Drosophila melanogaster: one gene and its partner. The gene in region 2 interacts genetically with the main gene of each other region. Each region holds a gene or a part of one and is shown on either strand. Other genes may lie near its edges.

The links. Genes that interact genetically often act in the same process or in processes that back each other up.
Region 1: of ttm50 (region 2) and PPP1R15, changing one suppresses a phenotype caused by changing the other (phenotypic suppression), as found in Drosophila melanogaster (one study listed by BioGRID).

What each region holds. Positions count from the first base shown.
Region 1 is NT_033778.4:23,975,050-23,979,021, forward strand, and holds PPP1R15 (protein phosphatase 1 regulatory subunit 15), read right to left. Parts: upstream 2,207-3,972; 5' UTR 1,843-2,206; coding exon 1,099-1,842; intron 1,039-1,098; coding exon 829-1,038; 3' UTR 550-828; downstream 1-549. Other genes in the region: mr (morula), read left to right, coding at 1-34, 91-291.
Region 2 is NC_004354.4:2,729,555-2,734,193, reverse strand, and holds ttm50 (tiny tim 50), read left to right. Parts: upstream 1-2,003; 5' UTR 2,004-2,145; coding exon 2,146-2,404; intron 2,405-2,476; coding exon 2,477-2,660; intron 2,661-2,716; coding exon 2,717-3,245; intron 3,246-3,304; coding exon 3,305-3,428; intron 3,429-3,487; coding exon 3,488-3,678; 3' UTR 3,679-4,117; downstream 4,118-4,639. Other genes in the region: CG2712 (uncharacterized protein), read right to left, coding at 1-638, 709-963, 1,024-1,629; dwg (deformed wings), read right to left, coding at 4,241-4,639. UniProt on the Drosophila melanogaster protein: Essential component of the TIM23 complex, a complex that mediates the translocation of transit peptide-containing proteins across the mitochondrial inner membrane.

The DNA of each region.
Region 1 (3,972 bases), on a different chromosome or scaffold from region 2:
TTCTGCCAGCGATCAAAGGGAAGAAGAACTCCAAGTAAGTGCCTTCAACTGTTCCTAATTCCGGCTTTTTCTTATACAATTATGCCGCAGGTTTTTTGGTCCTATATTGTTGGAATGCTCACGAATCTTGACTCCATGCCAATTGACCGAATCCACCAGATGCTGAAGCTGTTCGCCTCCCACAGCGGCGGAGTGGAGTTTACTCAGGATGAGCTGAAACACTTTCTCCAGCGAAAAGTCAGGGAGCACAAGCTAATATTCTCGGGTGGAGTTTACCAATTGGCCAAATAAGTTTCGGAGATCCAAAACCAAGTTGCAAACGACTGAAGGAATCATGAAATAAATAATGAATTAACGCGATAACATTTATGAAATTTACTGCTCCATGTTAAACGTACCTATTTTTTCAAACTGCCGTCTTATCTGTTTCTATTCAGAGCTTATCTCTCACCCACGTACACACAAAGTCTTTACCCAAACTTGTTTGGCTTGGGAATTTGGAACACAATGCAAGCAATCTTATGTGAAAAGAAGAACACACAGTAAAATACGTCTATTGCTTAATTTATTTCAAGTTATATTAAGGTATATGCTAATCCCGTTATCAACAAATTCAAACTTCTTAGGGCTCTAAAACTAAAGGCGAAGAAAAGTGTACGTGGTTTTGATATACTTTACAGGTTAAACAGTTTTTGGCTTCATAAAATCAATCACGAACGCAGTGGCTAAATCGATCACTTTATACACGCAAACAACTTGGAATTTAATGCTGTAATCGTTCTAAACTGTAATCTGTACATCAAAAGTTACTTCAGGTATGCGGACCAGCTAGTCCTCGTGCAAGAATCGAGCTTGGTAGACACGATCTCGGTGAACTGGAGTCAGGACGGCATTGAGAATGGGTGAAATCCGCCGAATCCGCTGCTGAAAGCGATCCCGATCTCGCGCCATTACCTGCCATTCGCTCTTTCTGGCAGCCCGATAAGCGTAGTCCCAGGCGAGCATTACGTGAACTTCGGGTTTCATGTTGAAACGAACCTGTGCGCATAAATAGGAAATTAGATATGCCCACTTATGCCGCGCAAAAATATTCTTCACCTTCTTGACAGGAGTCGAGCTGTCGTCGCTGCACTGGCAGGCCTTTAGCTCCTCGGTATTTTCATCCTCACCGCATGCTGTAAACTGCACGCTGCTGTCGTCGTCATCATCATCCTCGTCTTCCTCGACATCCTCATCCGCCTGCTCTGCGTCGTCCTCAAAGCAAATGAAGCTGTCCTCACTGCACTCGGAAATACTACGCTGCCGCTGCCAGGAGCTCTTGGCAGCCGATCCTTGCGAACAGCCAGCGTTGTTATTCCGGTCACTGGAGGCTTGACTAGTAGGGCAATCCTCCGCGGTATCCTTAAAGCCGTGGTGCGGATGCAGGTCAATAAAGAAGTAGCACGAGGACGGTACGCAACGCCGCAAGGCGTCCAACTCGATTCCCGCCATCTTGGCGCCCGGCGGACTCTGGGCGTTGACGCACTTGTGCAGGGCGGTCTGCATTTGAGTTACTACGTCCATAGCCATTAGCTTGAAAGACATCATGGTGGCCAGCGGATTCAGGGGGTCTGGCTGCAGGGTTGGGATCCGCAAATCCTCGGGGACTTCGAGCGGTTTGACCTCGGGTGCCTCCTGATGCACCTTGTTTGGCTTCCACAGTGTACGTGATCCAGCGGAGAGGGGACGTGACGGCCCGAACCGATATTGCTCGTAGATAGGGGAACTCATGTTTGCAATCAGGCGGAGAACAAAGAGGAAGGGGTCAAACAGTGCGCCCATAAGGGTGTGAAATTTCGACATCTGAACTTAAAGACACAAGTATGCGTTTGGTGTGGTGGGAATCCCTTGCGAATGGCCATTTTCTTGAACTTGGCTTTGGGGGGCATGGTGGCCAGCTTAATTTGAAACACACTTATCCATGGTTACTGCGATTAACTAATGTAATATGGAGTGAAATAACGCACATATATGGTGAAATGTTACGTATGTCGTGCATCCGATCCTTTGCACTTTACTGTTTTTCAGTTGTAGGCTAGTTCTGCTTTCGTTTGTAGCGTATATAGCGAGATATAGAGTCCAGGCACAATAATATTCAGAGTTTTACACGTTTTATACCAGAATAGTTCCATACTTTTTCACTAGAGCTGAAAATTTATCGATAACAGACGTTGAATCACCTTGGGTATTGTTGTTTTTGTGACCATTCACTTAAGCACCCCACAAAATCGTCCCATTCAAAACGGGCAACTGCAAACTATCGATAGGCAATTTCAATTTCAAGTTTCAAATTGTTGAAACTTTTAAAAGGGCTTTCCAGATTTATTAAAATAAGAGGTTATTTAAATATTTTTCTATTTACAGATTGAAAATGAGTTTATTGTTGATAATCTGATTTTTCTCCGTGAGTGAACATTTTTAGGTATTATTGCGATTTAATAGCAATATTAAGTAACCGTGATAAATGTATACTTTTATTTAAGCTGGATGTAACACCGATATACAAATTTATGGATCATAAGCTCCTAGGAAGTCACTTTAAAAATTGATCATATGATTGATGAGTCATCGTTCATGATTCTGGTTTATGAAGACGAAGACAGATCTAGTTATAGTACTCCAATTGTTAGAATTATGTATGTTGGGAGATTTGCTTATTTTAAAAGAAATAAATTAAGAATAAAATGTAAATAAATATATCGCAGCCTTAAAACTTAGGATGAAATATTGCGGTCGCAGCGATCAACTCGATTACTTCCGTGTGTCCGAGTACAATTAAATCATGCATACTCGTATGTACACTGCATGTACATGGTTCTTTACCCGATATTTATACCTGACACTGTATGAAAATGCAAGTGCATGTTCCGCTGCGTCATTCTGTAGATAAATACTATGTGTACATATGTACATCGAATTTGTATCTGTTAATATATATAGTTATCTCTATATTTTCGCATAATATTCGAGTGTTCTACGTTAACTGCATGCCATTTATGCATATTATTCGAGATCTCGTATATGGCAGCATAGTGCCTGCATGCATATGTTTTCTGAGGATGTATGTACTGGCATACATATAATATCTGATATTTACGTATAATATTCAGATTTTCCGCTCTCAAGACCGTTCGGAATCGTCTGAAATAAACAGAAGCCAGATTCATATTCATGCGCACATATGTATATTGCACGCTTATACGTAATGTGTATTTATTCTCGTATATATACATGCATACAACACACAAGCAAACGTACAGATTAATCAAACAGCCATATGATTAATACACAGTGGAACAGCTGATTCATAAGCGTACATGTACACACCCCTCCCCGCACACAGCACACCAACACTGTTGCGCTACTGCAACAGTTGATATCAAACCAAGGGGCGCAGTGCGGGTGGCGCCAGCCAGAAGGGCGCTGTGAAGAATTGATGACTTAAAGGGGCACCGAATCAAATAAAGAATTCTATGCTGATTGAAATAACTCTTTTATGGAAAATAAGGAAGGCGTAAGGCACTTTTATGCCAATGCAACTGAACTAACCGCAAGTCCGCTCCTGACTCGTCGAGTCAGGAAACTCTCGCAAAAACCTGCGCTCTTTCGGTCTCTGGCACGCACACAGCGACAGCTCGTGTATGTGACGCTGGTATGGGTGCATGTATCTGTATCTACGTGCTGTGGACTCAACTCAAATCAACTTGCAGTCAGTTCACTTGAACAGCTGTGAGCGATCGACGTTGGTCGGGAAGCAATCACAATCGAAACCACACTCACACACACCAAATACACACACCCACACGGATACAGCAGAGCCATATATATGTATGTATGTGCAAGGCATATATGCATAATTACATACAGCGCAGTACATGGGGCTGCATAAGAAACAAGTACAACAAAATCACAAATACACAAATGTACAACAAA
Region 2 (4,639 bases):
TCCACATTCTCGTCCTGCTCCTCCAGTTGGACACCCACTTCATGCTCGGCCCGCCTCCGCTGTCTGCCCGCCTTGTGCGACTGGCGATGGATGGCGAGTGAGATGCGGCGCTTGAAGGACTTGCCGCACTGCTCACAGCCGAACGGTCGCTCGCTGCTGTGGACGAGCATGTGGCGGTTGAGCTCGGATGTGCTGCCGAAGCTGCGCTTCTGGCACACCGGGCACGGGTGGGGCTTCTCCTGGCTGTGGCAGCGCTTGTGGGCAATCAGATTGCTCGAGTAGCGGAAGCGACGGCCGCAAATGTCGCAGCCGTGCGGCTTCTCGCCCGTGTGGGTGAGCATGTGCTTCTTGTAGCCCGACTTCTGTGTTAGCCTCTTGCCGCAGATGCTGCACTCGAATGGCTTGATTCCGCTGTGGATTAGAAGGTGTGTGCGCAGCGAGGACGCCTGCCGGTAGACCTTGAAGCAGGTGGGGCACCTGTTCGGATTGTTACGATCGTGCAGCGTGACATGGCCGTCGCGGGCGTTTCGCGTCTTAAAGGACTCTCCGCAGATTGTGCAAACGTAGGGCGTGGCCGTGCCATGTAGCTGCATATGGTACTTGAAGGAGTTGTTGGTGCTTAGTTGCTTGCCACAGATCTAAAGGAATGGAGGGAGAATTGATGACCTTCGGCTTTGAGTTATTTGCGAGCTGCGATGACCAACTTACTTTACACTGTAGGGAGGGATTGAGGGGTTTCCAAGGCCGGCTTCCACTGGGCAAAGTTTTCTGCGTCGCCGAAGTCTGTGCTGATTTCTCCACAATCTCGTAGACATCTTCGCCAGCTTTGGCCTGCAAAACGGGCTCCACTTGGAGGCACTCTTCAATGCAGTGGTCGTTGTCTTCTTGGCGAATTTTTGGCTGGCCATGTAGCCTCATGTGGTACTGAAAGGTCCGCTTCCTAGCCAGTTGTTTGCCGCAAATCTGCCGAAGATGGGAAACTATTTCGTGATTACTTACTTCTAATTCGGAAAGGCAACTCACGGGACATTGCAGCGCTGGCTCGGATCTTTCTAACCTGCTCCTACGTTGCTCCGGATCCGGATCGTCGACAATCTCGCAGAGATCGTCTTCGTGCTGTTCCAGTGCAATATCCAGCCTCTCCTCCTGTACAATTGGCGCTTCCAGCCGGCTCTCCGCCTCATCTGATTCTACGACCAGGAGTTGCTCCTCATCTCGTATCGTTTCTGCTGGATATTCAGTCACTTCCTGGTCATCGAGCACGAGTACAAAATCCTCCGGAATCTCGGTTGACAGCCTGGCCCTAGTATTCACCGCGCTGATCTTTTTGCTGCGGCAAAAGTCCGCATGACTCTGCCGCAGAATTCTGTCCATGCGATGGACACTCCGCTTGAATTCCAGCGAGAGCCGCAACTTGGCCACGCAGTCCGGGCAGATGTGGTGGGGCAGGAAGAGCTCCGCCTCTAGGATCTCCAGACCGCTGCAGTAGCTTAAAATGCTGGCCAGCGTCGCTGGTTTGCCGGAAATTGGATCGTCGAGCGGTTTGAAGAGCGGCAGGCAGCGCGGCGATGCTGTGTGGCACACGCGGCACAAGGCGTCCATGGGGGACGGCGGCGACATGGTCGTCATGGATTGAACTCGACAGTAGATAATACACGTTTAAATAAATAACTTAATTTAGCGTCCCGAACAGTGATGCCAAAGTCCAGCTGATGCGTTAGTGGTGGCACTCAAAATAGCTAGCCAGGCACATCAGCTTGGAAGTGACCAGAGGCACAGTGGCTTGGTGGTTGGTCAAAGGTTGTGTATTTCCATATTATTTAAAATATTTTAATTTAAAATTTTCTTAATACTGTGATTAGTCAGATTGCCGGAGGCAACATATGTACACACGCAGTTATCTGCAAAATCCCGCCAGATTTGGCTTGAAAATCGCCGATCTATACCTGCTGAGAGCCACGTGCTAAATGTACTAACGCCTGGTGCCGCCTGGCAGTGGACAGTATATAAAATCCCTAACGCCAACGCCGTGCCGGTGGGAAGTTGAAATTTTTGTTGGAATTTTTTATAAGTAAAAAGTCGCTGCCATCCGAGCAGGACTCGTGAACGGCTCTAGGACTCGATATCGGGAAGGAAGGGGGAAGCATGAGCATGAGCATGGCACCGGCCACCGTCCTCCAGTTGCTGCGCGGCCTTAGCACGCCGCGTCTTCTTACCCACATCCACCAGCACCGCGCATTGGGTAATCACTACCACCACTACCACCAACACTACCAGCACCAGCACCACCTCCTCCACCACCAGCAGCAGTACCTCCGACTATTCACTTGCACAGCACTGCCAGCGGCTGCTCCGGCGCTCTTCTCGATCCTGCACACAGCGCGTGGCTACAGCAGCACAACCAGTAAGTGATTCACGGTAGAGTCCTAAACAGTAGAGTCCTAAACATTCATCCTTGGCCACTTTCGTTTCGCAGAGCAGGAAGCTGGAGCCACTGGCCCCAATGATGCGCCCGAGGTCGCACCGAATGCCCCGCTGCTGGCCAAGCTCTTTCCTCAGACCTCGCCGGAGGTGGACAGCAACGCCGAGCAGGAGCGCAAGAAGCGCGAGGAGGAGGAGGAAAAGGAGAACGAGCGTGCCTGGAAGCGCATGAAGCTGGGGTAAGCTGACGCCCATTCAATGCGTAACAGTATTATAACAATACTTCCTGCTGCAGCTTTGCAATATTCGGAGGCAGCGCCGTGGCTGCTGGATTCTGGGCCGTCTACGAGTTCGGCAAGCCCGAGGTGGACCCCAACGGGCAGCCCATCGAGGACGAGTTCACACACAAGCCGCTGGTACAGCAGTATCTGCAGCGGATGTGGAAGAGCATTCACTACTATCAGCGCATGATCCAGGAGCCGTCGCGCGCCAAACTGCTGCCCGATCCGCTCAAGCCGCCGTACGTGCAGCCGCGCTACACGCTTGTGCTGGAGATGAAGGACGTGCTGGTGCATCCGGACTGGACTTACCAAACTGGCTGGCGCTTCAAGAAGCGTCCCGGCGTCGACCACTTTCTGGCCGAGTGCGCCAAGGACTTTGAAATTGTCGTCTTCACCGCCGAACAGGGCATGACCGTGTTCCCCATCCTGGATGCCCTCGATCCCAACGGCTACATTATGTACCGCCTGGTCAGGGATGCCACGCACTTTGTGGACGGCCATCATGTGAAGAACCTGGACAACCTTAATCGCGACCTCAAGAAGGCAAGTCATGCACAACGTATTTTCTATTGCAATCATCTATAAAGAAGGGAGTATTTTAGGTGATTGTTGTGGACTGGGATGCGAATGCCACCAAGATGCATCCGGACAACACATTCGGCTTGGCCCGCTGGCATGGCAACGACGATGATGGCCAACTGCTGGACCTTATCGCTTTCCTAAAGAGTAAGTTGCGCCACAAGTGACATTGAAAGCTAAACACTGACCCTTGCAATTCGCTACAGTAATTGCGCAGAACAACGTGGACGACGTGCGCGAGGTGCTCCACTACTATCGCCAGTTCGACGATCCCATCAACCAGTTCCGGGAGAACCAGCGCAAGCTGGCCGAACAAATGCTGGAGGCGGAACGCATCGAGCAGTCCAAGACCAAGCCAATGGTCAAACAGTGGTCGCGCAACATTCTCGGCCGCTAGGAGGCTGGCCATACCGCACAACCCGTTCCATACGCATACCTTAACCTTCCGCCTGCGCCGGAGCAACAAACACGCCCTGCAGCAGCACACTGGCCATATTTTTCGTCGACTTTTGGAGTAGTTAGTGGGAAGCAGTAGCAGACAGCAGACAGCAGGATTGGGAGGCACGCTCTGTCTTTTGCTCCTTTGGGAAAAGACGAGGCGCATGTTTTTGTTTTATTGAATAACTAAACTTGCTTGTTTTTGTTTTTTGGCAATTTAATCGTAATATTATTATTATAAAGAGACGACTTAACCGTAAAACCAAAAACAAGACATCCATGTGTTTCGTTACGAAAGTGGAGAACTTGCTGTGCGTTATCTAATCACAATTGATGGATAAGAGTGGCTAAACCTGCTGAGATAGTTATCGTGAAAACAAAATTATTTTTATGTATGTAAAAAATAAGTGTCGAATTTTCTTTCAGTTTTTTCTGGAACAAAAATCAGTTTTATTGAACTAAGTGTCTAATCCTTAGCCTAGGCTTACATTCTAGAGCCGCTCCCACGGCTTGGTGGCCGCTCACAGCACCATCACCACTTTGGAGGTGGACACCGGCTGCTCATGAACTTCGGTTATGTGAAGGTTGGTTGCCGATCCACCGGTCGCACCTCCACCGGTCGGACTTCCACCTGTCGCACCTCCGCCTGTCGCACCTTCTGCGCCCGCTTGTCGGCTGGGAGGATTGATGGACTGAACAGCAACGGTGGCCGTCACCGGCGACTCCTTGTTGTGGACGCGCATATGACTGGCCAGTCGCTTCTTTGTGGGAAAGGCCTTAACGCAGACCTCGCACTTAAACGGCTTTTCGCCGGAATGGAGGCGAACATGGGCATTGAGGTTGCTGGTAAAGGTGAAGGCATGCCCGCAAACATCACACTTGTGCGCCTTGACGCCACTGTGGACCATCATGTGCTTCTT